Regions from separate parts of the Mus musculus genome. Here all the other regions are reported to be linked to region 4. Evidence: microRNA targets listed by miRTarBase, many of them from high-throughput screens and not tested one by one. Region 4 holds a microRNA gene; each other region holds the end of a gene's coding sequence. Distances are from middle to middle.
What was found. Region 4 holds the annotated microRNA mmu-miR-181a-5p (AACAUUCAACGCUGUCGGUGAGU, at 2,119-2,141, shown strand). A microRNA usually pairs through its seed, bases 2 to 8, with sites in the 3' UTR of a target mRNA and lowers its output. Matches are read on the target gene's strand: a 7mer-m8 pairs with bases 2 to 8, a 7mer-A1 pairs with bases 2 to 7 and ends in A, and an 8mer does both.

Region 1 (4,238 bases), 40 Mb from region 4:
CTCAGATTTTAAGATGATGTCCCTGAAGTGGCTGACAGCTCATGTATTAAATTCTTTTCTTGTTGTCTGTGCTACCTGAGGCTTTCTGTGCATGCAATAGATTAATCACAGTTCAAGGGTGAGTTAGTCTCACCCTTCCTGTCAGATGTAGTTGTCATCTGTTTCTTTATACTAGTAAGACTCACTGTTATGCTGGAGATTTAGCCAAGTTCTGTGATGGACCTTGAGAACGATTCTCAGATAAAAGGTGTTAGGAAGGAGTGATGGAGGACCACGCTGTGCTGCTTTCTCCTCACACAAGTTGATTCTGCTCCAGTAACTGTCCGATTCTGTCACTTTCTGCTATCCTGATAACACCATCGTTAAGGTTGTTCTTTCTGTCTGTGGCCAAGCAATTGTGGGTCATATGAAGAAATGTCAGCCTGACAGACATGTGCCTGTACAGTAAAGTAGAGCTGTAACTACACTGAGATTAGCTCTCTGACTAGGCCTGACTCTGATGTTGGTTCTGAGTTGAGAGGGAGGGCTTCTGGCCTTCCAGCCTTCCATCTTGGCATAGGAATGAGATGGAAGGCATAAGAGGATATGGTTCCTAGAGAGGGAATTACATCCAGTTTTAAGCAAGTTTCATTTAAATTTCCTTTCAAATATAAGCAGAGACAGTTCTAATTGGCAGTTGTATTTCTATATCTGGAGCTAAGGGGAAAGACCTGGCAACAAGGATGAATGAGATTAATAGAATGGATTGTACTTATGATGGAAATGAATATTTGCTATGAAGAATATAGAGTGAACTATAAAAAGCTGGTTTTAGGAACACAGCCTGTTTGTCGTTACTTTTCTGTATTTGTGTTGACTTGTAAAACATTAGTGTCATATTGAAAGCCTGCAATGTTTTATCATAACTGTAGCGCATACAGCCACATCGCCCACCAGCGTTCTCTTAACCCTGTTGATTGGTGCAAATCCCAACGGCACTGGTTCTTTCTTCTGTTTGTATAGCAGCCGGCGGACCATCTCAGGCAATGGCTCCCCATACCTCATCTCGGAAGAAGAGCATAAATAGCAAAACCGAGGGGCATGAACCCAAGAAAAGCACTGGGAAGAAAAGATGAGCACACACCAGAACCGAAAGTTTCCATGCTTATAAAGGGACTTGTTGCTTAGCAAAAAGAATGTCTAAGAAACCTTGACTGAAGCTGGTCAGAGCCAGTGATTCATGTGTTATCATGCTTTACTTTATACATCTGTGTATTTCTTTAAACACCTCGAAAGCTAGAGGACCTCCTGTTTTTATTCAAACAAGGAGCTCTGGCAGGATCTAGAAATGTTCAAAAGAATGTCTGTCCGCTTTGTGTAAGGAAATTCATGACAACTGCTATTGCTGTCACTGTGATGATTCCCATGTGCCTGTGGCAGAGACAAAGGACACAGGAACCCGGCTGACTGGTACCAAAGTGCACTCTCTTCAGGTGCCTCTACACACATGCATTTCTACAGAATTACACTTAGCGAGTGGGATTGGACAGGCAAAGATCATGTGTTGATGACTTTTTTTAAAAAGTACATTTCCAAAGAGATCTCGTTGACCATTTACATTACAATGTTTTTGTCATTGCTACAGTAACATATGCTGCAATATTTATTGACTGGATTATATAGACCATGAATTATTTTTTCAATTTGTGCTTTGAATTTTTTATTGTGAATTATTTAAAATATTACAAATGCAGGTGGGAGAACTATACCTTTATACACATAAATTTACAAGTTAATCTGTAGAAAATATTTTCTTTATACATATCTTTACCATCAAGAAAAATTTCTTGGTTCACCAAGAAAAGGTTTTTTTTTTTTTTTGTATTAGCAAGAGAGGCAATTTTTTAGAGTTTCTTTTTATGAACTGTAACTGCTAAATTTGTAAATCTTACACGTGATTTTCTGAGTTTTTCTTGAGACCTATGGACTCAGGTCTATGATGCGAGTTCTGCTGTTCATAAGTGTCATCCAGGGTATAGTTCTTGTGTTTCCATTCTTATGTCCAGTGTATTTGATGATTTCACCAAGAAAACTCAAAAGATTGAACATTTGTAGTAAGTAAATGGTGTTTACAAATGATGAGATTTGGAAGAAAGATGGAGATGACTATTGTAATTTCGTCTAATATTTAAATAAAAGGACATCATTCTCCTTGGTGCTCTTTCTCCCTGATGCACAAGTAATTGTTTGAAATATTTTAAATTACTCACAAACTAAACAACCTGCTAAATAAAAATCTCAAACATTGGCTATAATGCAACTTAAGGTAGTAAGCTGTAGCTTCAAGCTTATGTTTAGAAGTACTGGACCCTTATTGTATAGTTAGTGTAATTCTTCAAAAGAGACTTCTAACCTTAAATAATCTTACATGAACTGACTTCTAGAGAATAGGCGTATTATATTATCTTGGTTGTTTAAAAAGGGATGAGATACAGAAGCTCCAAATATATACAAATAAATAAGTACATATATACTTCACTTGAATGTAAATGGATTATATGGTGGTAAATCTTGTAAACAATCGAATGTATGTATGTTCTCTGTGTGTGAATATGTGATTAATGTACTCATGGGGGGTGAGGAGACTACTTTTATTTTTTAAGTGGAATGAATTAAAATTCTTTTTAGAATAAGAGTGACTTGAATTTAAAGCATTTTATTTGTGTTCTTTCTTTTATGTTTTGAAATAGAAAATCCCCAGCAGCATTTTACATTAAGTACTATTCAATAAAACTCATGAGTGAGCATACACATAGCAGTGTATTGTCCTCTGCCTTATGAAGTATGTTAGCACTCGCTTTCCTCAGTATTAATCAGTAATTTCGGCTTTACCTTATTCACCCCAATCAATACTGTTGCTTTGTATGCTCATCTCTTTGCAAGAATCATAGAATTGTTTTTTAAAACACACTATCAGAGAGTCAATTTCATAACAGCAAAATAACATCACCACCATTTATGGAAGTTTGTCTGAAATAGCTGTTTCTACCAGTACTCAGGAGATGTGGGGTTTGAGAGTTTTTTAAGTGCTAAAACATGTTTATTTTTTATTTGTTTATTTATTTTGGGGTTGGGTTTGTTTGGTTTTATTTTTTGCTGCCCACTTTTCCAGCCAGCAAAGAAATGAGGAAGTCAAGCTTGAGGAATTGTCAAGTCACCCTGAGCTGTTTGTTAGTCTTGATAATTTATCATTCATTCCTTAACCCTCAGGAATCCTATATCTCAGGCCTAATAGCCTGTTGGCAGGCCCTGCTGGCCTGCTTTTAATGAGGTACATAGTCCATTCTGTATGACTAATAAACTCAAGAGGGAATTTGTTAATACACAGCTATCATGTATTAAAAAGAAGTATACTGGACATTTTAAGACAAACAGAAAATTGAGACAGAAAGGAAACTGTGATGTGGCAGAGCACGTGGCCCTGTGCTCGATATTTGTACAGCTCAAAAAACACGATAGGTGACAGCAATGAAGAAAGTTTAAAGTTTCAAGAGGAATCTGATGTAAAACTCAGGACTGTTGGGAGCCCTTAACTGGAGGCCGGACTTGTACAGAGGGAGAAGGAGAGGGGAGCGTAAATAGCAGTAAGGATGTTTGAAAAGGCCATAGGAAGCCATTATTTTCTGTTTAAGTATAAATATGTATAAAAAACTTAAATTGAATTATGCCTTATGCCACCTGGGGTAATAATACTTCCTCCAAAAGCCATAGCCTGTCTAACTACAACAACAACAAAACAAACAAACAAACAAACAGTTCCAGGAATGGAAAGCTTATTCTCAAGTTGTTGGTCCGAGTAGACCAAGAGATTGCCAAAGCATTACTATTGCCCTAGGTTGCCTCCCAGAACCTGAAGGATCTATTGCTGAAGATAGCACACATGTTGGACATAGGACTTGAGGGAATCACCCTGGGGACTAGAGATAACAGTATCCAAAGGTTCTACAAAAGCTGCCAAGGTAGGTAAGATGTTAGTCCTCACCAGCTATAAACTCATGAATCACAACAGTGACTACCCCAGCAAGTACAACAGTAGTACTTCTATCTTGGGAGAAACCAATAGCTGTGTAGTTGGACTTGAGGCTCCACTCACTGAAGGGAAGTCCTGCCTAGTACTAGGAACCAAGTTACCTACCTGTGACTGCAGATGTCATGGGCCCCTTTATAAATACAGTCTAAATATTTATCATTTTCCCAAC
Region 2 (4,238 bases), not on the chromosome of region 4:
GCAAGATGGGAACTGTCCAAGACCCTGAAACTAAGTTGTTAACCACAGGGCCTCCCAGCCAAAGCCAGCCATCTACCACCTCAGCCAGGTTAGCACATGCCTTTAGCTGCTGCCCAGCCCCAGGGCAGTGCTAGGGGGAAGGATAAGCATAGGGGTGAGACCAGGACATGGAAGAGGCTGTCATGGCCACCAGGGCATGGCCTCGCTACACTCAGGGGCCAGATCTTAGAACATGCAGGCCAGCCTCTTGGCCTACAGCAGAGACGAGGCATCTGCAGAGACACATGCCTGGGCAGTGGGAGCTGCCTGGGAACAGTCAAGCAATGGTATACCACATCTGAGCTGTAGGGTCATCCAACACTGACATTCTGGGACATTCCATCATCTCTTTTTCCCTCCCTACTCTAAAGTTTCCAAGCAAACAATAGGACTCCTGGAAGCCACAGATCCTGAGCAGAGAGTCAGACCCCAGGCTGGCCTTCCCTGGGCCTTCCCAGGCCCAGAGTACAGCTGCTGGCCACCTCAGGTGCTTGGAGGCTCAAGGGAGGGGGAGATGGCCAGCCAACTCAGAGGAGGGGCACCAAGCACATGGCCACCAAGTGGAGCAGAGAGGAGGGCCTCCACAGAGGTAGAAGAAACATCAGAATCTCAACAAACAGAAAATTCACATCAGTGCACATGTGCAGAGCACTCAGAGCTCTGGCTGGGATGATGGAGTGGACACAGTCAGGCGCAGCCATCAGCACACTCAGCTTCCGCCAGCCCAGGGACACAGGTATGTCTCCAGGGCCTCAGGCCCTGCCAAGCTACATACTGCCTGGTGAGGCTCCATCCTGATGCAGCTGGAGCCTACCCCACCATCCATTCCTGGAATCTCTACCAAGTGTTGGCAGCAACAGAAGGCAACGAATACTTGAGAGCCCAGCAAACTTCCCTTTATCCATGGGTTGTTCAGCAGGGAGAGATCCCCTTGGAAAGGTGCCAAGAGGCTGGAAGGGCCACGGCTTCTCCCAGGCTCCTAGGCTGGAGGAATCTACTATGAGCTCATCCCAGGTCAGTATCAAGGAGACATGGGTGGCTACAGGATCCCCAAGCTCAGCCCTGGCCCAAGTGATCCCAGTGCCCTGCCACACCTTCCAACCCCAGACTGCAGGCCCCAAAGGCACAGGATCAGAGAAGTCTTGGCAGCTGGTGGTGTCCAGTAGACCTGGCTCCCACTTAGGCCTACCCAGGCCTCAGACCCACCAGCAGTCTCTGACCCCACAGGCCTCAGACACCAGCAGTCCCTATACCCCCACAACAACTAAGACTAGCCCCGAGCCGAGACCAATCCAAACAGAAAAGAGAAAAAAGGCACAACTGTTTGTTTTCCATTTTGCTAAAACACTTTACATCTGTCTGTATAATCCAGATTAACAAAATCTGAGAGCTGCAAGAAAATAGGGTGCCAATTTCTGTACAGTCTACAAAACTCCCATCCCCAAGCGGGGACCGGGCACCACCAGGGAGGAATGTACAGGGGAGAGCGGGGTCTGTACAGTGTTCTGCAAATGCCTCAATTGCTAACAGGACAAAAGGCCCCTCAGGAAGCTGGGCTTGTTCCACCAACTCATTAACTCTAAAGAGCCTTTCTAATAATGTAGCCTTGGTGCCAGGGGCCCAGCTCTATGGTCTACCTAGCCTGCCACTCCTCACCCCAAGCCCCACACAGAGGAATGTGGACGGGCCTTTATGCACCCCCTGCACTAAAGCTAAGTCCAAGTTTCAGCTGGCCTCATGACCACTGCCAGCTACTGCCTTTCCCTGTCCTAGGCCATACCCACCCCCATCTAGGCTGGATCTGAAGTAGAACCTCAAAAAGGAGAGGCCAGGAACAGTTGACCTAGCAGAGTAGTCTGTAGTGGGTGATACCTGGACCCACCCCAACCACCAGCTTCTTCCCCCGAGGCAGTGCCCAGCCCTTCCTATGAGGCTTTAGGACCCTCCAGTCCCCTCAATCCTGCATACAAGGAATCAAGGGGCAACCTGAGCCTCACAGACTGTGTTGTGAGGGCACTTTAGGGGTGTTTACACTAAATTAGAGTCTCCTTCCATACTTCAAACTGAAATCTTCCACCTACCCGGCCACCCACCCCCATCAAATGGGGCCAGAGACCATGCGTATGCTAGCACCACACAGATGTGTGTCTGGAGGCTCAAACTACCATTTTGTCCCAGTAATTAAAGTCATGCAGAGTGCTATTCTGTCTACGTAACTTATTAGAGAATGGGTTGTTTCAGGCTGGGAGAAGCTGTGGCAGGCATTGCCAACAACAGCCTGGGCTAGTTACATTCACAGGGCAGACCCCACAAACAGCATGAGGCCACAGGACCTCAGGCAGCTGGGAGGTGGCCACCTGGTCTAACAGGTGTTGGGGGAGGTGTCCCCCCCACCCCCATGAAATCCCCACCATGCTGTGCAGTGGATTGCTACAGGAACCAAACCCGGGTGACCAGCCAAGTCAGCCAGAGCAAGGAGGCACGGGGACCAAAAAGGGAAAGAGGTAAGATGATTTCGAAGCAAAGCAGGAGTGGATAGAGCCAGGTTAGGCCAGGCCAGGCCTCACCAGAGAGTAGACAGGGTCAGGCAGGTAGGCCCTCCAGAGGCCAGCTCAGGACAGGACAAGGGAGCTCACCAGCTCAGGCCTGAGGTCCAGGCTGGGCAGGATAGTGGGGCAGGGGGCTGTGGCATGCGGCATGCTGCAGCCAGGCCATGTCCTTAGCATGCACAGGGCAAAGCAGGGCCTGGGACCAGCTCAGCCTCCCATGGGGCAGTGGCTGGCCAGCCCAGCAGACCACTCTTCCAGAGGCCAATAGTTGAGCCTTAGCCTGGCTGGGGGCCAGGGTTCTGCTCCTTGGGGGGGGGGGGGTTGTTGTAGAGGTTCTGTGCTTGATGGGCAAGGCTAGTCCTTCCCTGATGGAGGCAGGCTGGGCAGCTTTGTGGATAGTTCAGATGGTCCACAATGCTGCTCTTCAAGGCATGATGAGCCACTCTGATGGGCTGGGGAGGCAAGGGCCATGGCTGCAGACAATCCACCCCACCAGAGTGTTGCAGATGAGCACTCTGGACTGGGACCCTGTGGCCCCAGAACCAGCCAGGTGATGAACCAGCATGATGCTGAAAAAGGAAAACCCAAACAAATGCCAAGGTGAGCATTGGAAAGCAGGGCCGCACTAGGCAGTGAGCAAGAGGGCAGAGGTGGACGGGGGCAGACAGGGTGGTGGGCAGGTGGTGGTGGTCACTCCTCGCGCAGCTGCAGGCGGTAGCGGTGGTAGCGGACCTGGAAGAAGAGGCGCTCGGCCAGCGAGAGGGTCATGCCAGGCAGCACGTAGTGATCACTCGCGCCCATGTGTCTGAAGCCCAGTGACTCATAGAGCTTGTGGGCGGCCACCTTAACGGCTGTGGTGCCCAGTACCACTGCAGAGTAGTTGTGCAGCATGGCAAACTCCAACACCCTCCTGCCCAGAGCCTTGGCGATGCCTTTTCCGCGGAAACGCGAGTCCACGGACATGCGGAGCAGCTCCACTGTGTTGTCCTCCTCATGGGCCCGTGCGGCCACGATGCCCACAACGTTGCCGTCCAGCACAGCCACCCAGAAACAGGAACCTAGGAAGGACATGACAATCAGGGATATTCTGCATGGAAGACTGAAGAGACTTTCGAGCTGCCCATTCCAGCTGAGTGCCAAGTCAGGGTATCACAATGATGCTCAATCCTCACCTTTCAGCTCTTTTGGACACCAGGGGAGGCCACGAGACACTCCATAAGCCTCAGTCCGGGCAAACCTGCCCAACTTTGCATGACAGGATCCCACCTCACAAGCAGACACAATCAGCTCCAGCCCAAGTCTCTATTGTCCTGGCCAGAATAGTAGTTGGAGGTGCCTAGGAGCTGCACAGCCCTTGACAAAGCAAATTCCTACCCCCAGACCACAGGAAAACCCACAGACAACCACAGCTAGGGCCACAGGGCAGAGCATGTCTTGCTGACATACTCTGAATCCCAGCCCTTGGTCTGCCATACTCCTCCCCCAGTATCTTTGCAGGGATATAACTGAATGAGAACCCAGAAGAATGTTTTCTGACCCAGCGAGGGACCACAGACAGCCACACACACCCCAAACCCAGTAACCCTGACACCAGGCTAGCCAGCCCTTACAAGAAGGGAGGGGGCGAGAACAAGGAGTTTGGATGGGAGG
Region 3 (4,238 bases), not on the chromosome of region 4:
CTCTAGCACCTGACAGATAATACACATTTCTTAGTGTGATGGGCTGTTTGTCTATTCCTGCGATGCTGTTATTTTCAAACTAAAATTCAAAACCAAAATCCAACCAACCAACCAACCATAAACCAAAATCACAACCCTTATAATTTGGAGTTCAAAAGAACATTTTTTTTTTTTTCCAACTAGGTAAAAAGCCAGTGTCTGTCCAGTGCCTGGAGGTCTTGTTCATGAATTGGACCAAAGTTTAGAGCAATAGTGACCTCTGAACTTACCTTGGTAACCATTATTATAGTTACCAAGGAAACTGTGTGCATTGGTCTACCCATAAAATAGTTGTAGACAAACACAACCATCTTTGGAGTCCAGCAGGTGTGACTTTAAGCCTGGGACTGTCAGCAACTGTGGCCTTTCTTCACTTTCCTGAGGCCTTCTTGTTTAAGCTGCTGTTTATATCATGTCCTTGATTTCAGTACTGCAACATGGCAGCAAAAGTATGGGAAACATAGTTTAGGAGTCCCCCAAATACAGGTACCTCTTTTTAAAAAATGTGTATTCCTTTGAATGTTTCCTGAGTCCCGTTGTGGTGTAACAGAAAAGCTGCTGCATGGACCAGGACCTGCCAGCCAGCACAGCTGCATATCAACCTCTCCAAGAGCATTTACGAATTTGCCTGCAGATAGAGCAGGCAAACTTCTGAGGACCTTGGCCTCATTCTCACTGCAGGGTGCACTTCAGAAACTCGGATCCTGAATTGTCATTTATGACAGCAGTTTAAGTGTTTAGTTGCACTGACTAGACACTGGAAAGGAAAGACAAATCTCGTTTCCTCCTTAAAATGTGAGTGGGAATTAGTTCATCACATTAGTTGTCTACTTTGAGACGAGATAAAATGAACTCCAACCTGCCTTGCCACCACTGCTGCTTACTCTCCTGTCCCTTGCTTTCTGTAACCTCAAGTCTCCAGCTCCACCCTGGCCGGGTCAACCTGCTCAGTTAAAACACTTTGAACTAAGTTCTGTCTGTCTGTCCATGTGGAGGGCACCCTCCTGGTGTCCCTTAGAAGAGGCCCGCCCACCTTGGCTTCTCAGTCTCTCATTGCTTGCAGTCTTTGGTCTGAGCAGGCTGGTCTGGCTGACCAGTGAGCCCAGAGGCTGTACCACCCTCCACCTCCTTTCTTCAGTCCTGGGATGACAAGCATCGGTCACTATTGGCTTTTACTGAGTTCTGGGAATCAACTCTGGCCCTCATTGCCCCTCTGAAGCCTTTCTTAACCCTTTCTTCTCATGTGCCCTACTAAACAGATTAACTATTTTCTTTCTTTATTTTTTATTTTAACTTTTTTCTGTTTTAGAAACAGGGTTTCTGTACATATCCTGGGCTGGCCTCGAACTCAGAGACCCACCTGTCTTTGTTGAGATTATCGCCCCAGGCCTGGCCAGTAAGCAACTTTTAATGGCCCTCTAAGCACAGAGACAGAGCCAAGTACTTCACAAAGTCCCTGGGGTAACTGTGGCCGTCAACTGCTAAAGACTAGTCTGGATACTGAGGCAGAGTGGGACTCTTCCTTTCCACGCTCGGTTCTGTATGGAAGGCAGAGTCCCCAGAGTCCTCAATGCTCCTCTGCCCAACAGCCTCTGTTGCTCAGGTCTCTGACCCAGACCGACTGGGAGCATCCTTGGCTCGCTGCGCTTCTTCAGCGACCCTGCCTTTTTGCTTTCCATCTTATTTACTCTCACCTCCATGAGAATATAAGTCAGTACAGGGCTTTCCTTCACTGTTGTAGACAGACATGTCAAAATAATCACTGAGAACATGAACTTGAAGTTCTTCCTTGCTGTTTCTAGCCAAGCCCCTATACTGAAACAAAGTCACACAAGTTCTGGGGTTGAAAACAAAAGGCAAAGACCACTGCACGTTAGTTTGTCAACATGTAATGCCCTGGGTTTATTTTGTGAGAATTCTATCACAATGTTTCCAGGTGGGATTAAAAACCTTAAGGATAACGTATGCCATTGGACTGGGCATTCAGACTTCGGTACTAACAAAGCAGTAGTAGTCTGGTAAGTACCATTCTCTTCACAGAAGAGAGGTCAAATGTTTCCAAAGGAAGGCACCCGATATTTGTGGTTCTGGCCTCGCAGCCTTCTGGAGAATCTTAAAAGGAAAAAAGCTGGCTGGCTGTTTTACAAACTGGAATGACGATACACGGACAGCAATTACCGCATTCTTCTCCCCTATATCCTTTCTGTAAGAACAAGTAAAGAATGAAGTCTTTAAACAATTCCACAATATAAAAGTACATCTTTTTGTGCTAAAAAAAAAAAAGGGCAAGACAACATAAACTCCAGTTGTAAGGACTCCGTTTGTGTACTTGATTTAACACTTTTTGGTGTGGAAGGAAATGGGACGACTGGGCTGTTTGTAGGGCAGCAACATAACATTAGTGCTTTAAGTACCAGGGCCGCCCAAGCTTGCAGACAGGCGGGGACGGGAGAATTCAAGAGACTTCATTTTTAGCTTGTTGCGCGTCCTAATGCTAGTAGACCAGGAAGATCCCCATTGAACAGTACATTCCCCGTTTTAAAAAACTGATGCCTTTTTTTTTTTGTAAAATTCTGTATGTATGTCACCATTTTTTTTTCACATGATACACAGAAAACTCAAGGACCCAGAGGGAACCAAGTTATGTTATACCATTTACAAAATACCAAGGAGTCCACAGCTACCTAACACATTTACTACAGCACAGGAACCAATGAGGGTACAGTGTACAAAACCTGTAAACACGGCACAATAAATAGAGACAGCAGGTTCCGCACCATGCACATGATGTGATGACACCAGCTACACAATCTCACAGCTCACACTCTTGTTGCAGTTACCCCCCACCCCCCGCCCCCAAGTGCAAAGCATCACAAATGAACAGTTCTGTATTCAAGTAACATATATACAAGGGTATTACAAATATGCAGTACTGTACAGATAATTGCTGTATTCTTAATTTACAGATGTTGATTTTTTCCTATTAACAATAAGAAAAGAAAGGTTGAAGCACGAGAGATTCGAGAGCTGCGCAGTGCTGCCGAGTCCCCACAGCTGCCACGGAACCGCACAAGTGCTCTCCATACTCCCTGCGTTCCAACGCTCTGATGCATAGCACCTGACCATGTCCCCAGGATGCAGTCCTGCTCCCAGGAAGCTACGTCACCTCCATTGCTACTGTGTTGTCTGCTATGTTGTTCAGTGCTGGCTTTTCCGATTCATGATTTTCCCTGTTGGGATAAAAGTTCTTTTAGTCAACAGTCATGTACAAACTAAGCAAATGAAGACCATCGTTCCTTTAAAAGCCTTAGTCATCTTTAACAATAGGAAGAAACATCACTATGGGGCGATGGGACAAAGGATTGTGAATTTTTGTAATTATGAAAATCATGCAAGCAGAAATCAGGTAAGTCAGGGGTCAACAGTCAACTCCATGCCAACTGCACTGACAAAACCCTGTCCAGGAACCCAACTGACCAAAGATCCACACCCCCAACACCAAAACCCTGTCCAGGAACCCAACTGACCAAAGATCCACACCCCTACACCAATACGTCTCACGCTCTGAAAGTTACAATTGCAGCTGCTTTCTCTTCTTACACTTATCTACTTAGTATGTATGTCCATGCACACATGTACTCATGTAAGTGTCTCAGCTCAATTCTTGGGGAGTGAGTTCTTTTCTTCCACCACGCAGGTTCTGGGATCAAACTTGGCTTGTTGGGCTTGGTGGCAAGTGCCTTTACTCACGGAGCCATCGTGGTAGGCCCCAACCTTTATCATCGTTTTGGGATGTGAGTGTGTGTGTGTGTGCACATGGAGGCCAGAGGTGGACGGCAAGTGCCTTTCTTCTATCCATCTTCACCTTTGTTTTTGAGAAAACCTGAAGTTCATGGAGTTGAGGATCTGCCTGTGCCACTGTTTCCTGTAACCCAACAGTGTAAGCACTGCAGGCACCCAACACTACATGGAGCGTCTTTAAAACCGTGGGCTATGAATTCAGGTGCTCACGCTGTACTGGCAAGCACTGAGTCATTTTCTCAGGCTTGAACTCTTTTTCAGCCTTTACACAATTACGTTGTATAGTCAGAGGGCTACTTGCAGGGTCTGGTTCTCTTCTTCCTCCACATGGATACAGTGGTCAATCTCAGGCTGCCAGGCTTGATGGCAAGCACCTTTACCCGGAGCCACCTTCTCCT
Region 4 (4,238 bases):
AATCCTGGAATCTTAACATTTTCTAAAAATAGTCAAATAAGACTCGACACCTGACAGAAAATGTAAAATTTCAATACTGTCCAACATTAATATTCCAGCCAATTATCAAATTTGGAAAATAACAGTGCAGACAAGGTTAGCTAGTAAAATAGTGATTGGAACCAGCATTGTAGAAAGCCGAGGAAAGGTAAGCTAAATCAGCAAGTAGACATCTTTCCCCTGTAGAATACCGTCCTGAAGTTATTCTCTTACTGTGAGGCAGGTGCAGCAAGAGCAGAGGTGCTTTTCCTCATGGAGAGTGAGTTTAAGTTATTGAGAGGTTTTTCTCATCAAAAACTATAGCCATGAGAAAAGTACATGTTTCATTGGATAAATAGGAGTTAAAATATGTCAGTGATGTGATGTTTAATCTAATTTCTTACTAAACACCAATCACTTTCAATCTCCTAAGAACTTCATGATAGTATTCTCCGTAATTTTATTCTAAGAATTTGAGAAATTTGGACTTATATTTTCTACAGAGAATTTTAGAAGGTTCTGGAAACCCCTCACATTGCGGTGCTTTGCTATTAATTGTGATTCGGATGGAAATTGCTTGATCGTAGTTCCAATTTTGTATATTGAGATAAGGCAATGATCATGGCTTAGAGTCTCAGCTCAGCAGCCTTGAAAAAATGATATCAAAAGCAATGACAGGTATGTATAGAAGCAATGGGATGCTGGCCTGAATATGATAGTGCAGTGGTCAAGCAAGGGAACATGAGCAACATGCATTCTGGTGAAACTGATAACACAGATGGTCCCAGGAAGACTTGCTTTCCTTCCACAAGAGACAGCCCTCTGCAGGAAAGCTATCTCAAAGGAAGCCACACAGGACTATTCAGATTCATCAGTTTTATGTCTTGTAACTATCTGAAGTCTGAATGCATGCCATCAGCAGATCGTTACCTTATCTACCTCAAAATACCAGCCAGAGACACTTGTCCTGTAATCTCTTCGTGTACAAGATAATAAATGATTACAGGTTTAGCATACAATATTCTAAGTAAATAAAATGAATATGTATAAAAATTTGGACTGAATGGTTCACCAATATTTTATTAATAGTTACACACACACACACACACACACACACACACACACACACACACACACACATATATATATATATATATATATATATATATATATATATATATATATACTTATTAAAGCCACTTAAGAGTCTACATAAGTATAATGTAGTAACTTTCTACCCTAGTTTTGAGGAGTACAAAGGGATTTTTGTTTAAGTTGATATTTGAAATCAGTTTTGAAGACATGCTCAATAGAGTTCATACTAACTTGTAAATGCACTTCATTTCAAGAACACCTAGGAAATGGATAGAAGTTACTGCCAGATCCACTCAATCAAAACAAATAACAATATTAGGATATAATAACCAAAGTGAGAGGAGTTGAATTTCAGGCAGTAGGCATAGGTTGTATTAATTTTCATTGTAGTTTAAAGTCTTGTGTCATAAGCAAAGAAAGATGTGCTAAATTGGTTTGATTCCTTGATTGTTTTAAAAATAAGTATGTTTAAAAGAAATTATACTAATTAAAATGCCTATTGTAAAATAAATGCTTATTCCATGCACATTGTAAACATAGAAGTTCAAAATTGTTAGCAATGTAACTTGAGAAAACCTAAGTGGTTTCTGCTTGATTCTGCATGACCTACATGCGTCCTTGCAGTTCTTATTATATACATACCAATATTTAAATTATGAGATACTTAGATACTATTTGTTTTGCTTTTTGATAGTTCCAATTTTGTTGAATGATAAATTCTCCCTGTCTTTAACAGCCTGTAACTAAGCTCCCCCCAAAAGGACTTTTCTTCCCTTTTGAAAAAAAAAAATCCGATTCTTTTCTTTGACACAGCACAAAGTGGAGGTTTGCCAAGCTCTGGGCTGGAGGAATCCTGCTTCTTTTCTTCTGTACTCTTTTGAAATGGTTTAAAATGTGTGACAGGTTTGGTTAAAGGATTGGGCTTTCCTCTGCCTCCCTCCTGCTCCAGACTCCCACAGATACTGTTTAAATCAGCACATCTCTGCCTCACAGGTTGCTTCAGTGAACATTCAACGCTGTCGGTGAGTTTGGAATTCAAATAAAAACCATCGACCGTTGATTGTACCCTATAGCTAACCATCATCTACTCCATGGCCCTCTGCGTTTGCTGAAGACAGAACCGCAAAGCAGGACCCGACAGGATTCTCCCCGCCTCTTCAGAGACTATGTTTACAAAGGTCACAATCAACATTCATTGCTGTCGGTGGGTTGAACTGTGTAGAAAAGCTCACTGAACAATGAATGCAACTGTGGCCCCGCTTTTTGCTGTCGCAATCAACAGACGTTCCCTCCCTAATAGAGGTCCTGGGGGTATTAACGCCGTTTCTCGGTTTAACTTCTGCTGTCTGAACTTTCAGGTTTGTTTATTCAATTCATATCAAGTCCTATTTCTGTGAGGAAGTCACTAATTTATATAAGAATACTGCTTTTCTATACTCCTGGGGGTTACAAATGGGGCATTTCTTAAAAATGCTAAAGTGTTGGATGCCCAGAATCAACTGTGTAGCCCTGGGTTGGCACGGCTTCCTGCTCTGCTGTGCTGGTGGGAGGAAGAACCAAAGAAATATCTTACTTCCTGCCCCGTTATCCGTCACATTGTTACACAGAAAATAACCATCCCCTCATCTTTCATTAGATTTCTTGGTCAAAATGGGCTTGAAGCAAGAGGGAATTCTTTTGCTCTGCATAAAGAATCGCTGAAATGGCTCTACTCTCTATGGAATTGGTAGGCAGAGGGATAGTACCTCAATAGCCAAGTACTTTGTTATCCAGGGGCTCATTATAATCATGCAATAGATTTGTTTCCCCAGAGAGACCTCAGATTTAAGATTATAGTTCATCATCTTTATTTACCCTCTACTTTCTTCTGAAATGGTAGACTTGATTCCAGGGACTGTCTTCAAGCAAGTGTGTGTGTGTGTGTGTGTGTGTGTGTGTGTGTGTGTGTGTGTGTGTGTTTCCTAACTAGTTTGGCTCTATAATTTCAAAAAGAACATCTGTCATTAAGGTTCATCACCTCCAATAGTAAGTACAGTGGTTGGAGTTAATATTTATAACAGGATGTTCAGCATACAGTGTGTACATGGTACCTAGTACATGGTACCTAATAGATTTTAATTCGTTGGGAAAAAATCTATCAAACATATTGTCCTTTCTCTCTCTTGATCAGTTTATTATGATATACATTCAACTCCCACTACAGAAATCCATTCCTGGGACCTTGCTCTAGTGTTCAGAATATTCATTCCCACAGTATTTTACGTAGTTAGTTCACAAGTGCCTGCCTTGCTTGGGGCATCTCTATCTATCATAACTCCTTTCTCCCACCGTCTGTTTCGTTCCATTTAACGTATGACAAGGCTCTAATCTCAACAAAAAACAAGAAGTTCAAAAAAAAGTTTCTATTCCTGCTTCATTCACTGAACAGCCCCCTTCTTTTTTCTATCTTAAAAAGCTATGAGTTTGGAAACGTCACTTAATTAGTAACCTGCAGAAGAGTCTCTATTTGTGTGTTCTCTCATTACTTCTCTTCAGCCCACAATTTGACATCTTGAAACATTGCTCTCTCCCAATTGTGCAGATTTTTTTTTAATGGAAGCTGGTCTTGGTGAAACCAAATCACCAGTATTATTCCACCCCTGGTAGCAAACTTCCTACTCTTCTTCCATAAAATCATTCCCTTTAAGTTCCATATTTAAGTGGATCCTGCGGCACTGGCCTCTATTTCATTGATTATAAATTCATCCAGGTATATATTTGTTGATAAACTTTTCTAAGCCTGGATAGTATTTCATTTCATATGTGTATTTGTGTGTGTATGTGTGTGTGTGTGTATTCGTATATATGCTAAGGTAATGGAGATATGTAGATATATAGGTATATGTGTGTGTATACATATATGTGTATATATATATGTGTGTGTGTGTGTGTGTATACCTATGAAAACATCCATAATGTCAGAATATTTTCTCTACTCATTCATTGATTGAAGGACACTTTGTTACCAAAGCTTGGCTATTATCAATAATGTTGAAATGAAGAGAGTACAAATACCTCTTTGATATACATATCTCAGTACACACACACACACACACACACACACACAGAGGATGTAGGGATGTGAG
Region 5 (4,238 bases), 73 Mb from region 4:
GAGTTTTATGATCTTTGGTAAAAATGCCTTACATTTTTATATAGAAGATTAAAATATGTATTGCTTTTGTCCTGTTTTCCTAATAGGCTTTTGTTTTGTTTTGTTTTGTTTTTCTTTTGTTTTCGAGACAGGGTTTCTCTGTAACTCTGGCTATCCTGTAGCTCACTTTGCAGAATCGGCTGGCCTTGAACTTACAGATCAGCCCGCCTCTGCCTCCCAAGTGTGCCTGGCTCTCCTAATAGTTTCAGCTAGAAACAATATGCTTTTCCCCCCATTGCCCTAGGGTCATCTGGGGAAACTGATGGACACTAGAACCTTCTCCCACTTGAGAATCGGTCAGATGGTTGTCTGTAACTTGTGCTGTCTGGGATGAAGTGCCCATGCCGCATGGGCCTCCTCTGCTTTGTGAGGTTTTCTTGGCAAGAGAGCTGGTCCGTGACTGTAGGTTTAGATTGGAGTTACCATGTGGGTAGCACGGAGAAACTAGTTCAGATGTGCATACTGCATCACTGCCTGCTTGGATTCTGGAAGGCCTCACGTATAGGCAGTGTCTACAGCCTGAGCTCAAGCTTGCCAGGAGGGCAGGCCAGAAAATGAGAGACAGCCACTCCACGCATTGACTTTTTTGTTCTACATTTTTAAATTCCCCCCTTTTATTTGGAGGGTTAGTGGTGGAGGGTCATGCATGTGTTAGAGTCAGGGGACAACTGTCAGCATCTCTCCTTCCAACATTTAGGTACCAGAAGGCAATCTGAAGTTGTCAAGCTTGGTGGCAGGTGCTTTTATTGGGTGAACCGTGTCACTGGTTCTAATGGACTTTTGAGGTAGGAGAGTCCAAATTCGCAGAGCCTCCTCCACTGAAGGTGCTGGGATGAGAAGAGCCTTCTCTTAGTTTTGAGAAAGAAGCCAGGAAGGCTTCCTACTGCTCCCTCACCACCCACATCTCTTGCTTATAGAGAAACCTACTCAACTTGTGTTTATGCATACATGTATGGGCATATACACGTGTGCATGGGTAAGCCAGAGGTCAGCCTTGGATGATTGGTATTCCTTATGCAGCATCCATCTCTCTCTCCTCCCTCCCCCTCTTTCTTTCTTTTTCCTTTCCTTTCCCCTTCCTTCCTTCCTTCCTTCCTTCCTTCCTTCCTTTTCTTCCTTTCTTTTTTTCTCTTTCTTTCTTCTCTTTCTTCCTCTCTCTTTCTTCCTCTCTCTTTCTTTCTTTCTTTCTTTCTTTCTTTCTTTCTTTCTTTCTTTCTTTCTTTTTCTTTCTTTCTTTCTTCTTTCTTTCTGTGTATTTGGGGATTGACTTCATGTCTTCTTGCAAACACTTTACTAACTGAACTGTGTCTCCAGCCCCATCCACCCCTTCTAGGATCTCAGAATTCTATCCCATTTTCTTGAGTGCACCTGCCAGTTGGATCTTCAACGTTTTTCAATTAATGTGTTAACAGTTGCCTCCTAAGCAGTCTTCCTCCCTCACCAGTGTCTGCTATCCTTTCCCCCCTTCACCAAACATCATTTATAAGAGTGCTGTTTTTTTTTTTAAGATTTATTTATTTATTATATGTAAGTACACTGTAACTGTCTTCAGACACTCCAGAAGAGGGTGTCAGATCTTGTTACAGATGGTTGTGAGCCACCATGTGGTTGCTGGGATTTGAACTCAGGACCTTTGGAAGAGCAGTTAGTGCTCTTAACCACTGAGCCATCTCTCCAGCCCCAAGAGTGCTGTTTTTAAGACTGAAAACATATCATGTCTTTCCCTTCTTAGAAATCTTCACTGTCTCCTTATTAACTTACAGGGCAATGCCTACATTCTTTAGTTTATGCAGTGTCTGCTGATAGTTTATTAGGCCCTTAGGTCTGTCCTTTTTCCTTACACTGGAAGCAGGATCTTGCAGCACTACTCTGTGCTTCCAGAGCAGATTCCCCTCACTGTCTGTTAATTCATGTACCTCACTCCTCAGCAAACGTTTTTGTTTGTTTTGGTGTTTTTGGAGACAGGGTTTTTCTGTGTAGCCTTGGGCATCCTGGAACTCCCTCTGTAGACCAGGCTGGCTTGGAACTCAGAGATCTGCCTGCCTCTGCCTCCCAAGTGCTGAGATCACAGATACGCACCACAGCTGTCTCACAGTAGACTTCTTAAGAGAAAAAATATTTTCAAATCAAATTCCCATGGCTAGGATATAATCTAGTGTCTGTGTCTGTGTTACTTTTCAACTTGACAGAGCCCAGAATCACCTGGGATATGGCCTCTAAGTATATACACTAGGGATTCTCTGATTTCTGTTAAGGGCTAGGGGAAGCGCCATCTTGGTTTCTAGGCTGAGCACTAGCATGCATTCCTTGTTCTCTACTTCAGGACCAGCTGCTTCAAGCTCCTGCTACCCTGACCTCCCAGCTACACTGGGAGTGTACCTTGAACTGTTGCCAAAACTAACCCTTTCTCCTTTAAAATGCTTCTATCTAGGTATCTTATTACAGTAATAGGAAAAGAAATGAAAAACACTTTTTAAATAAAAACACATAATAAACACTTCAAAGAAGAGTCATTAGTACTTCATTTTAATTAAAATTAACAGTTTAGAAGGACTAGACTGGAATAGTGTTTAATATCAACTTCTGGGAAAAAAAAGTCACATTTATATAAAAGAAATGCAGCAGGTCAGCAGAAATCCAAACGGTACAGCTCCCATTATTGCCCATGGGTGAAATGTACTGCTTGGGGTAGGATAATACTTAGGCTGGGTCACAGGAGAAGAGAAATCAAAGAGCAGAATCCTCCAGTCTGCATTTATTCTAGACTTGGAATTCTCCAGTGGTCTTAAAATATAACTAGTATATTGGACACATACATGCTCTTTATAAACACGTCTGCCATGCATTTTAGCTACACACATCCTATCTGTTCCAGTCTTATGTGAGCTTACTGTATAGCTCTCCCACACACAGTACAACATTTGCGTACAAAGGCCCCAGTGTTCACACTCATGGACAACAGGGGAAGTGAGTTTCTCTTTTCCCCTTATGGGGAACCATACTGTAGCTATTGTTCACCCTTGGAGCACTTCTGATTTTGGTCATTTACATTAGAGCATGAGAAAACATGACAGTTAATTGTGAACAGGTACTAACATAATTCCTACACTGCTACTACACAATAAAATACAATTAAAAAAATTTCCCCACCACATTCATTAAGGTGGCAATAACTGTATGAAAAAGAAAAAAGACTGTAAACATATATAAAAGTTCAACTTTGTCTTCTAAACAAATTACAAAATGATTTTTGTTTTTAATCTTGAGTGTTACTAAAAAAAAAAAAAAAATACGTAAACCTGTGGACCTAGTTACCGCAAAGACTCATTCTAAGCCCAGGTTTGACCTTAAAGTTTGGCCTGAGCTAATTTGGCCTTCAAGTTTTCTCCAAGTTTGTCCATAAACTCAAATGTATTCAAGTAGTCAGAACGTTGTACACTGGTGGGAGAAAAAAGAAAGAAATTTAGTTTTTTCTCTGACAAGGCAGGAGGTAATTAAAAACAAATCACAGTAATGCTACTCACACTTCTAGAAGAGAACTCATTAATGTTAAAAAGCTACAAATCTGTGGGCCATGACTGAGGTTCCTGGTGCTGCCTGTGCTCAGGGTAGCCTGCAGTGGGGTCTCATGTGCACACATTCACAGGAGACCCTGCTGTACGGCTCTGAACTACCAGGAGCTTTAGGTCAGGCTAATGCCAATGTTACTGAAACCATTCCACTTAAAGTTTGTTAATAAATGCCCGAAGAGTAGGTTTCAAAACCACTGTGCTGATGTTGCAAATGTATCTTTGCTGGAAATCTAAGAAACGTGTAGTAAACCGACTGTAACAGATCTCTGAGGTGTACTGGTGGGGAAATGGTATTAATTTACATTTAAGTAAGAGTTCATTTTTTGTTTGTTTTGTTTAAAATTTTAAACTTTTGTACATTTTAATTGAAATATAATTACATTACTTTCCTCTGGTCCTTCCCTCTCTTCATTCTCAAGTCCCAGCTCTTTCCATGCCCCTCCACTCTCTAATCCATAGTCTTCTTCCCCATTTATTATTGTTACATACGTATGTATATGTAGGCACAAACATGCAAGCATAACCTGATGAGTCCATTTTTGTTGTCATGTGTTTATGGTTTTGGGGCTGACTTTATAATTTCTCCTTGAGAGTGGATTCTGAGTAACAGTTGATCTAGCTAGGACA
Region 6 (4,238 bases), not on the chromosome of region 4:
TGCAGACAGAAGCTCCCCAGTGTGTGAGCATCTACCTAGCAGCTGTACTCTCTGCAACACTGATTCTAGCATCGAGTCCCCGAGTTGATGACACTCCTTTCTCTCAATCCCTTGGCCAAGATCCAACAGTGAGCAAAAAGACATGGCCATTGTCCTATAACATGGTGCTATCCTAAGTAGTGAGGGCTCCATCTGGGGACCTGGTAGGGTTTCCCATACTACCCACTGTTGTATATTACATAGACTGGCTGTGGACTGTGTATGTAGGAGAGCCCTAACTGTCTGTGGCCACATCTGTCCCTCCACTGTGTCCCACTCTTCCCAGGGGTAGGAAAATAGGCCTGAGTGGAGACTAGGGGCAGTCTAGCGTTCCTGAAGGTAGGACAGGATGCTCTATGTCTTCAACTTGCAGCGGGACATTAACCATGTCTGCTCTCCCCACAGGTCTGGTACATGGATGGTTATCACAACAACCGCTTCGTCCGTGAGTACAAGTCCATGGTGGACTTCATGAACACGGACAACTTTACCTCTCACCGTCTCCCACACCCCTGGTCAGGTACGGGCCAGGTGGTCTACAATGGCTCCATCTATTTCAACAAATTCCAGAGTCACATTATCATTAGGTTTGACCTGAAGACAGAGACGATTCTGAAGACGCGCAGCCTGGACTATGCTGGCTACAACAATATGTATCACTATGCCTGGGGCGGCCACTCAGACATCGACCTCATGGTGGACGAGAATGGGCTCTGGGCTGTCTATGCCACAAACCAGAACGCAGGCAACATTGTCATCAGCAAGCTGGATCCTGTCTCACTGCAGATCCTCCAGACCTGGAACACCAGCTACCCCAAGCGCAGTGCCGGTGAGGCCTTCATCATCTGCGGCACCCTCTATGTCACCAACGGTTACTCGGGGGGCACCAAGGTCCACTATGCCTACCAAACCAACGCCTCGACCTACGAGTACATTGACATCCCCTTCCAGAACAAATACTCTCACATCTCCATGCTGGACTACAACCCTAAAGACCGCGCGCTGTACGCCTGGAACAATGGCCATCAGACCCTCTATAATGTCACCCTCTTCCATGTCATCCGCTCCGATGAGTTGTAGCTCCCACTTTTCCAGAAGCCAAGGGTCCAAGTCCTCACCCCGAGGACATTTCCATGAAACAGCTGCCAAATGATTCCAAGAATACTAACAGTCCTGATTTTGAGAAATCAGCGCAATTTTGACGCCGAGAGATGGTGTCCTCTCTGTGTTCCTCCTACTCCTGCAGGTGGGCCGCAGATTTCAGAAGAAACCGCCATGTATGTGGATGGAACTGCAGCCCAAGGCTCCTTGGCTGTCCCCATCCCACCCCATCCCTCTCTGGTCCAATAACTCAAAGAAGCAAGGCGATGACTGTTGGCCCCTCTCACCCAAGAACAACCCACTGTTAGGATTGCATGGACATTTCCTTAGGTTGTGCCCAGCGAGATGATGTGATGGCCATTCTCCCCAACCAGCTCCCCCAGCCCCCGAGGCACTCGCTCAGTGTAGGCTGCTTCAGCCCACACATATCGCAGCTGCCTTTTTCTTGACCGTGTTGTTGTCTCTTAGATTAACTGTGCTGAGACTCCCGGTAGCTCATGGACCTGTGTCTAGTACTTTCCCGAAGCGATGGTGGGTGTGCGTAGGTGAAGTTGCTGTACCCACGTTGTTGAACTTGCGTACCCTGTAGCTAGATCGTGAGGTGTCCGTCTGTTATCCCCCAAGGTGGTAACTCCGTGTGTTCAATTTATGCAATGAATGTTGTCATGCAATGCTGTAGTTTGGATTGATAAGTGGATGGTTTCTGTTTCTAAAAAGAAAAAAAAAATCAGTGTTCGCCCTTATAGGAGACATAGTCAAGTTCATGTTGATAATAACCCAGTGGAACTCTTATCTTGTCAAGGTATCTGAATTGTGTAACCATGGATGGGAAGGACGCATCGTGGGAAACTTCCGTTTCCTACAGGAAGGAACTCCCCAAGGGCAGCCATGTGTGGAAAGATCATTTTTTAAAGAAATAAATAAGTCAAAGAGGGCAACTTTGTACTGTTCAGTTATCTAAGGAACAATAAAGATATTAGGAGATAACCTCGATTTGCTTATTGTCTGTGGCAAGAGGGACATATGTGATGGGCAACCCTGGATGTCGTAGCTACCCTCTAAGTCATGAGAACTCAGAAGGGAAAGAGGACAGTGGATTATGACCTCCTACTTCCCAAAGCCAAAAAGTGCTTGGCATTCCCCCGACCTAGGGCTGCCCCAGAGACCCCACCCTTAATTCCTTCACCCCCTTCTCTGACTCTTCTTCCCTGGAGCAGGTACCCACCCATGTCAGACAGCTCTGGCGCCATTGGTATATGTCAGCCGAGACCTCACTGATGCTGATAAGACCATGATGGTGAACCCACCCCACTTCCAACCCAGCCTTTCGCCAAGGGCTGCCACAGACCTAGGGAGGAGGTGCCCAGGGACCCCAAGATATGTAGACCCTAGCAATTCCAAAGGACTCAACATGCAGATAACATCCTAGAACACCCAAGTAGAGCAGAGGTTCTTGTAGAACAAGTCACAGCCTCAGGTTGAGAGCCTTCCTAGAATGTCCTGGAACTTAATGCCAACCAGAGAGGTGATGGCATGAGAGGGGCTCATGTGTGATGTGACTGGCATCAGATTTGATGGGTGGTTGCTGTCTATGTTCTACGTGTGGGTTTGGTATGAACTATCTCCTCTCACCTCACCTCCACAGTTGGGCATCTGTCACCCTACTCAGGGTGGACACTGGTGACATGGGTCAGGTTATGTGTTTCCCCAATCAGTGAGTAAACTAGTCTCCCACATTCCCATCCATGACCTGGGACAGCAGCTGGTTGGTCTCCAAGCAAGACATTGATGGTGCTCAGGACAAGCTGATACCCATGATGTGTGGTTGTACTGTAGAACTGAGAGTCTGAGGATGTCTAAGGACAGACAGTAGTCCTGGTGCTCACACAGAACTTGGCGTCACTTCCATGGTGAGCAACTAGGAACAAAGTAGCTGTGGGCATTTGGGGACTGTGTCCAGCTTGGGCATAGGAGGCTCTCTTATTATCTAGTCCTTGACAATAGTTAGAGCCACAGGACAGTGGTGGGAAGGGGTCTGGGAGGGTTCTGAGCACAGATCAGTCAGGCCTGATGTGGAGTTCCCAGCCGCTGCAACTCAGGGGGCCACAACCTGGATCCCAGTGCCCTTCCCCAGTGGGCTGCTGATACCGAGGGCCCATCTGGTGTGTCCAACCTTTTGACATTTTGACACAATGTTAACTACAAGGTTCAAGATACAAAAAAGAAATTGCAAAAATATCTCTTAATATTTGAAGTAAATTCCTGATGTTTGTTTTGGCCACATTCATAGCTGTTCTCCGCTGAATGTAACCAAACTCAACCTGCAGGTTGGACAGCTTTCTGTAAGAGACAGGGCCTGCTTTGGCCCTCTCTCACTGGGATCACCAGGCACAGAGCTCTAGCATGCCCCTGACCACCTCTCTTCTGGCCGCAGATCCCTCCCACCACTGCACAAACATCTTAGAGGCCTCCCCCCACACATACACCTGCTAGAGAATCTTCCTCCCACAGGCTCTGCATCCTTGTGACCAATCTCATCCAACATATTCTGGGATCTGAGAGAAGTAGTTCAAGTATCCAAAATAGGTGAGTCTCCAAATGCAAACCAAAAAGAAAAAAAGAAAGGGGGAAGGAGAGGGAGAGGGGGAGGGGGAGGAGGAGGGAGAGAGAGAAAAACAAAAGAAAAAAAAAGACGAAAGAAGAAATCTTTTCTTGCTTTTTCTTCTGCCTAGAGGTTCCCAGGATTCATTCACTGGGGTGATCAGAGGAAGGAGAAAAGAGGGGGCGGTCTGGGGAAAGCTAATCCTCATTACAGTCAGCTGCAAGGCTCCCTGAGAAGTCATGGCTGAGGCCACAGAGTGGAGGAGCTTCCAGTTAAAACTTTCAGAGGTGGGAGGCATTTTCATACTTTCATGAATTATACGTTTACAAATTATCTTGGGGTGAGACAGCATGCAGAACCCCACCCCATGAGACACATAGGGTGCTTGTTCATCTAAAAGCCCAAGTTTCAATGAAGCGATCACTCAAGCTTCGAGGCCTCTCTCCGATCCCTGATTTGATGGAGTCTTGTATGCACACCATCAGCTGGAGCGGTG
Region 7 (4,238 bases), 20 Mb from region 4:
GCAGCTTTCCTCAGTTCTGTGTCAGATTTGGAATTGAGGCCCAGCTAAAAGGGGAGGACCACTATAAAAACCAAAGGCCATAACTTACTCTAACTTACATGTGTGAGAGCATGCCGGCTCTTTTGCATTCCTGGACTTCCTGGCATTATCTTAACTGCTTCAAACTTCGGAAGATGGAGTCCTCAGCTGCTACATACCCTACTGGCTCTGGCCCATATGAATCAAATCATTGATTCATACTCATGTGAGGTATCTAACAGTGATGACTCCCCTTTTTATATAAGTAGTCAGCTTATGATTCAAGGACCTGCAGAGGGGATGCACTCACCAGGAGGGACTGAAGCTAGCAGTTGCTGCCAGAGATGCCTAAGGGTCTTCCACCTTAGTCAGCCCTTCCAGAAATACTCTGGAGGACCCAACTAGAGACATGTCTTTTAACTGATCTTTTAGACGTGTCCAGTCAAATTGACAACCAAGATTAACTGTCACGGCCACTGTAGTAAGCACTGCATGAATAAAATCAATTTAAAGGCAGTTGAGCCACCAGACTGACATGGGTGCTGGGAACCCAACTCAGAGCCTCTGAAAGCTATACATGCTCTTAACTGCTGAGCCATCTCTCCAGCTGCCCTACCTAATTTTCTAAAATTGGAAAACAGTGTTGAGGCTGGGGCTATACATCAATTGCTAAAACGTTTGCCCTGGACTTGATCCCTGGCATGGCATAAACCAGGTATCATGGAACACACAACCTGGGCACTCGTGGTAGAGGGAGGAGGATCAGAAGTCCAAAATCACCCTCAACTACACAGCAAATTGAAGGCCAGCCTGGGCTACAGGAGACCCTGTCTCAAAAAATAAATGACTAATTCTGGGAGCTGTGTACCTCAGTGGTAGAATGCATGTTTAGCATATGTGATGATCTGAGCTTAATCCATGGGTCAGCAAAACAAAAGGTATACTAAAACCAGAGGCAATATTTCTCAACATCTTCAATTCAAACACCTTTAATTTCTTCATGGAGGTCGATCATGCAGACAGTATCTGCATTTACATCAAAGCCCTGGGAGTGACTAGTGTCTTGGTTGGTGTCACCCTTACACAACAGCTCAGGCTTACCACTCCAGGCTTCTTCAGCCAGCAAGGAACATGAAATTTTTTTTTTTGAGACAGGGTTTCTCTGTGTAGCCCTGGCTGTCCTGGAACTTACTCTGTAGACCAGGCTGACCTCGAACTCAGAAATCCACCTGCCTCTACCAAGTGCTGGAATTAAAGGTGTGGGCCACTACTGGCCAGCAGAACATGAACAATTTGATTCTCCATAGAGAAGAAGAGTTCAAACAGCAGCACACTACTTTACAAAGAGACCAAAAACAGTTTTATTGCTTTACAAGCCAGTAACGAACACAACTAATTATCAACATGACACTTCTAAACTCTCAAGTAGAATCACAACACTAGAACATACTCCTTCACTTTTAAGTGCAATTTGTTCATTGCATCTGAAACTGAATTTCAAGAGTTATGTATGGTGGCAATGACCTAGAGTCCCAGCTGCTCACAGGCTGAGGCAAGAGGAGAGCTTCAGCCCAGGAGGTTGAGACCAGCCTAGACAACACTACAGGCAGGACATTACAACCTCTGTCTCTAAAGAGGAAAATATGAAACTTTTGACAAGAGCTTTAATGATGTCTAGCAGAACCCACAAGAACAGGCAAGAGCCTGTGAAACTACCATGCAACTGAAAAGCCTTCTACCTTCCCAGACACTTTCAAGAGTCTAATCCTGTACTCAGGAAACGGAAACAGAGGTGCGAGTTCCAGGCCAGCCTGGACTACCAGCAAAACCCTGTCTCAAATGGTAAACTAACAAAAATTGCCTAATACCTTACTCTAACCCTGCAAAAAGAACCATGAAGAAAGCTAGTCTACATGTCCAACAATATACAGCAATCACAGCTCATTCCTCAGGATGGGAAATTAGAGTCAGCCTCCTGCCACCCCGCTCGCTGCACAACGAAGGGTTGAACCCAAGGCCTCAAACATGCGAGGGAAAGTCACTGAAACATACCCCCAGCCTTTTTGGTTGGTGTTTTTTGTTTTTTGCTTGTGTGTGTGTGTGGGGGTGGGTGGTCTTTTTTTTTTTTTTTTTTTTTTTTTTTTGTCACAGGATCTCACTCAGTTAGACAGGCTACCCCTGAAGCCTTGAATTTGCCAATCTCCTGCCTCAGCCTCCTGTGTACCTGGGAGCACAAGCCTGCACTTTCAGGCCCCACTTTCCAGTTAGTCTCTAACCATGGCCTGATAAAAGCCAGTGTCAAAGATCCCACTGCACAAACATGAAGCCCAAAATGCTACCAAGAAAGAAAGGGTGACACCCCTGAGTACTTCCTATTACACTAGTAATGGCAGCAGCTTCCTGTCAGAGGGTGCAAAAAAAAAAAAAACCTACACTATTTTTGTTGGGTTTTTTTTTTCTTTTTTTCTTTCAGTTTTTTGAAGTCCTAGGATGGACCATTGCCTCACATTGCCAAGCAAGTCTATCACTAAAAGCTACATCACCAGCCTTGACTTTAATAATTTCAGTTCTACCCCAAGAATGGCCACATATGAATTCTTATGCGATCTGAAAAGGAGAGGGCATAGAGGAGCCCAAAGTTTACATGACTACCCTAAACTATACATTTTAAATGTACTGACAGAATCACAACCTTCAATTTCTTATTCCAAAAAATACTGCCAATCACATGAATTTTTTAAAGCCAAATTTTACTTTCTTCTACTCCAAACAGCACTGATGTCTCTAAGAAGCCACTCCTCAGTACAGATAAGGAGTGAATACATGAGGATGGCTTTCTACTCCCAGACCAGTTCTAGCTGGCTGCTGAGAAAAGGTCTCCATGTTTACAAATACAGCACACAGGTGTTAGCTCTAGGCAGGTGTAAAGACTAACTGCTACGGCAGCCGGGGTGTAAGGTGATGTCAGAAAACAGATGCTCTAACCCAACACAAGACATCACAACGCTTTTCCAGAGGCTCTTTCTACCTTGACCTTGCTGGGTTGAACTGTACAGTTTCATCTGCTCTGTTTTAGTAGCAGGGACAGAGTCGGGGCCTCAAATTTCCTAGGCAAAAAATTCAACTCACTTACAAGACTTAAGATGGGCAAAATAAAGTTCCCTTGCTTGTCAACCATTTTATTCTCACACTGCATCCAGGCTATAGCTGGAAATGGAGGACTAATCTGGACCTAGAAAACATCATTGTTTACTTGTGGGAGAAATTACAAACAAGACAACAAACCTGTCAGTCAGTACATCAACAGTCAGGTAAGCAAGAAAGGACTTTTACCAAGGGACCAACATTCACACTGTTGACAAAATGGTAATACGACGACAACACGGCACGGCAAGTGCACTGAAAATCAACAAAAAAACCCCATCCGTGGAAAGGTTTCTTTTTCTTTTTTTTTTTTTTGTTTAGATCCAAAAAGTATTTCAATTCTGACACTCACAGCACACAGCTGGTTACGAAAATAAAGCGCAGTGTTTAGCAACTGGTGTGCTAACTACAGGAAGAGGCACTGAGCTAGCCCTCCCTGGCAACTGCGGCGCCAGCAAGGCCAGCCCCAGGGAAAAGCTCCTATTTTTCACCACAAGCCGCTGCTGTCTCCTTATTGAAGCCTCGGATGGAAAGGTCATAGACCACCTCCTCTACTTTCTTCACATCGTACTTCAAGCCGTCGTAGCGCTTCCTCAGGGAGTCATTTTTCAGATTGAGAAGACGAAAACCAGAATCCAGCTCATTGATGAAAGTAGAAATGTGAAGGGGCCGAGAGTAGTCTCCAGCAGTGACACTGTTGACAGACAGCCTCGACTGCACAGGGAGAAAGAAATCGGATACATCACTATGTGGGTTCTCCCTCCACACCTTCCCACTAATCACAGCTAGAAGCTCAAATTGAAACAGCTACACTGAACTGATGTTCTGTATTCAAGATGCTTACATGTAAGCACATTAAAACAGAAGGTTCTCTGAAACAAACGCCACCAGAACTGAGGCAATGTCTGCTACACGTGATGGACATAATGAGCATCTTCTAAAATCTCTAATGACTTTAGCTGGCTATTATGAAATAAAGTTATAGTAAATTAAGCAAATGTCATTTTTACAGCTCAATAGCTACTGTATAGAACAGAAAACCTGTCACAACAATCACAGGTATCTTTTCAAACATA

Region 1: miRTarBase lists Ppip5k2 as a target of mmu-miR-181a-5p. Seed matches in the 3' UTR shown: 8mer at 2,520-2,527 and 7mer-A1 at 2,563-2,569.
Region 2: the mRNA of Nat8l is a reported target of mmu-miR-181a-5p. Seed matches in the 3' UTR shown: 8mer at 2,328-2,335.
Region 3: miRTarBase lists Epc1 as a target of mmu-miR-181a-5p. Seed matches in the 3' UTR shown: 7mer-A1 at 2,565-2,571.
Region 5: miRTarBase lists Idh1 as a target of mmu-miR-181a-5p. Seed matches in the 3' UTR shown: 7mer-m8 at 3,191-3,197.
Region 6: miRTarBase lists Olfm1 as a target of mmu-miR-181a-5p. Seed matches in the 3' UTR shown: 7mer-m8 at 1,795-1,801.
Region 7: the mRNA of Tsn is a reported target of mmu-miR-181a-5p. Seed matches in the 3' UTR shown: 7mer-m8 at 3,362-3,368.

The regions. Positions count from the first base shown.
Region 1 is chr1:97,704,595-97,708,832 of GRCm38, reverse strand. It overlaps Ppip5k2 (diphosphoinositol pentakisphosphate kinase 2), which reads left to right. Exons shown (of 28, transcript NM_173760.5): 28 at 1,003-2,790. The coding sequence ends at 1,115. Among named protein-coding and RNA genes, the nearest start is that of Macir, 45 kb to the right of the region's middle.
Region 2 is chr5:34,000,188-34,004,425 of GRCm38, reverse strand. Nat8l (N-acetyltransferase 8-like) reads right to left here. Exons shown (of 3, transcript NM_001001985.3): 3 at 1-3,646. The coding sequence ends at 3,279. Among named protein-coding and RNA genes, the nearest start is that of Nat8l, 6.3 kb to the right of the region's middle.
Region 3 is chr18:6,434,039-6,438,276 of GRCm38, forward strand. It overlaps Epc1 (enhancer of polycomb homolog 1), which reads right to left. Exons shown (of 14, transcript NM_027497.3): 14 at 1,913-3,269. The coding sequence ends at 3,197. Among named protein-coding and RNA genes, the nearest start is that of Mir1893, 54 kb to the right of the region's middle.
Region 4 is chr1:137,964,350-137,968,587 of GRCm38, forward strand. Mir181a-1 (microRNA 181a-1) reads left to right here and starts at 2,106; the gene lies at 2,106-2,192. It overlaps Mir181b-1 (microRNA 181b-1), which reads left to right and starts at 2,290; the gene lies at 2,290-2,369.
Region 5 is chr1:65,156,079-65,160,316 of GRCm38, forward strand. Idh1 (isocitrate dehydrogenase 1 (NADP+), soluble) reads right to left here. Exons shown (of 9, transcript NM_010497.3): 9 at 2,538-3,477. The coding sequence ends at 3,387. Among named protein-coding and RNA genes, the nearest start is that of Idh1, 21 kb to the right of the region's middle.
Region 6 is chr2:28,228,610-28,232,847 of GRCm38, forward strand. It overlaps Olfm1 (olfactomedin 1), which reads left to right. Exons shown (of 6, transcript NM_019498.2): 6 at 445-2,127. The coding sequence ends at 1,119. Among named protein-coding and RNA genes, the nearest start is that of Olfm1, 25 kb to the left of the region's middle.
Region 7 is chr1:118,297,162-118,301,399 of GRCm38, forward strand. Tsn (translin) reads right to left here. Exons shown (of 6, transcript NM_011650.4): 6 at 1,353-3,876. The coding sequence ends at 3,643. Among named protein-coding and RNA genes, the nearest start is that of Tsn, 12 kb to the right of the region's middle.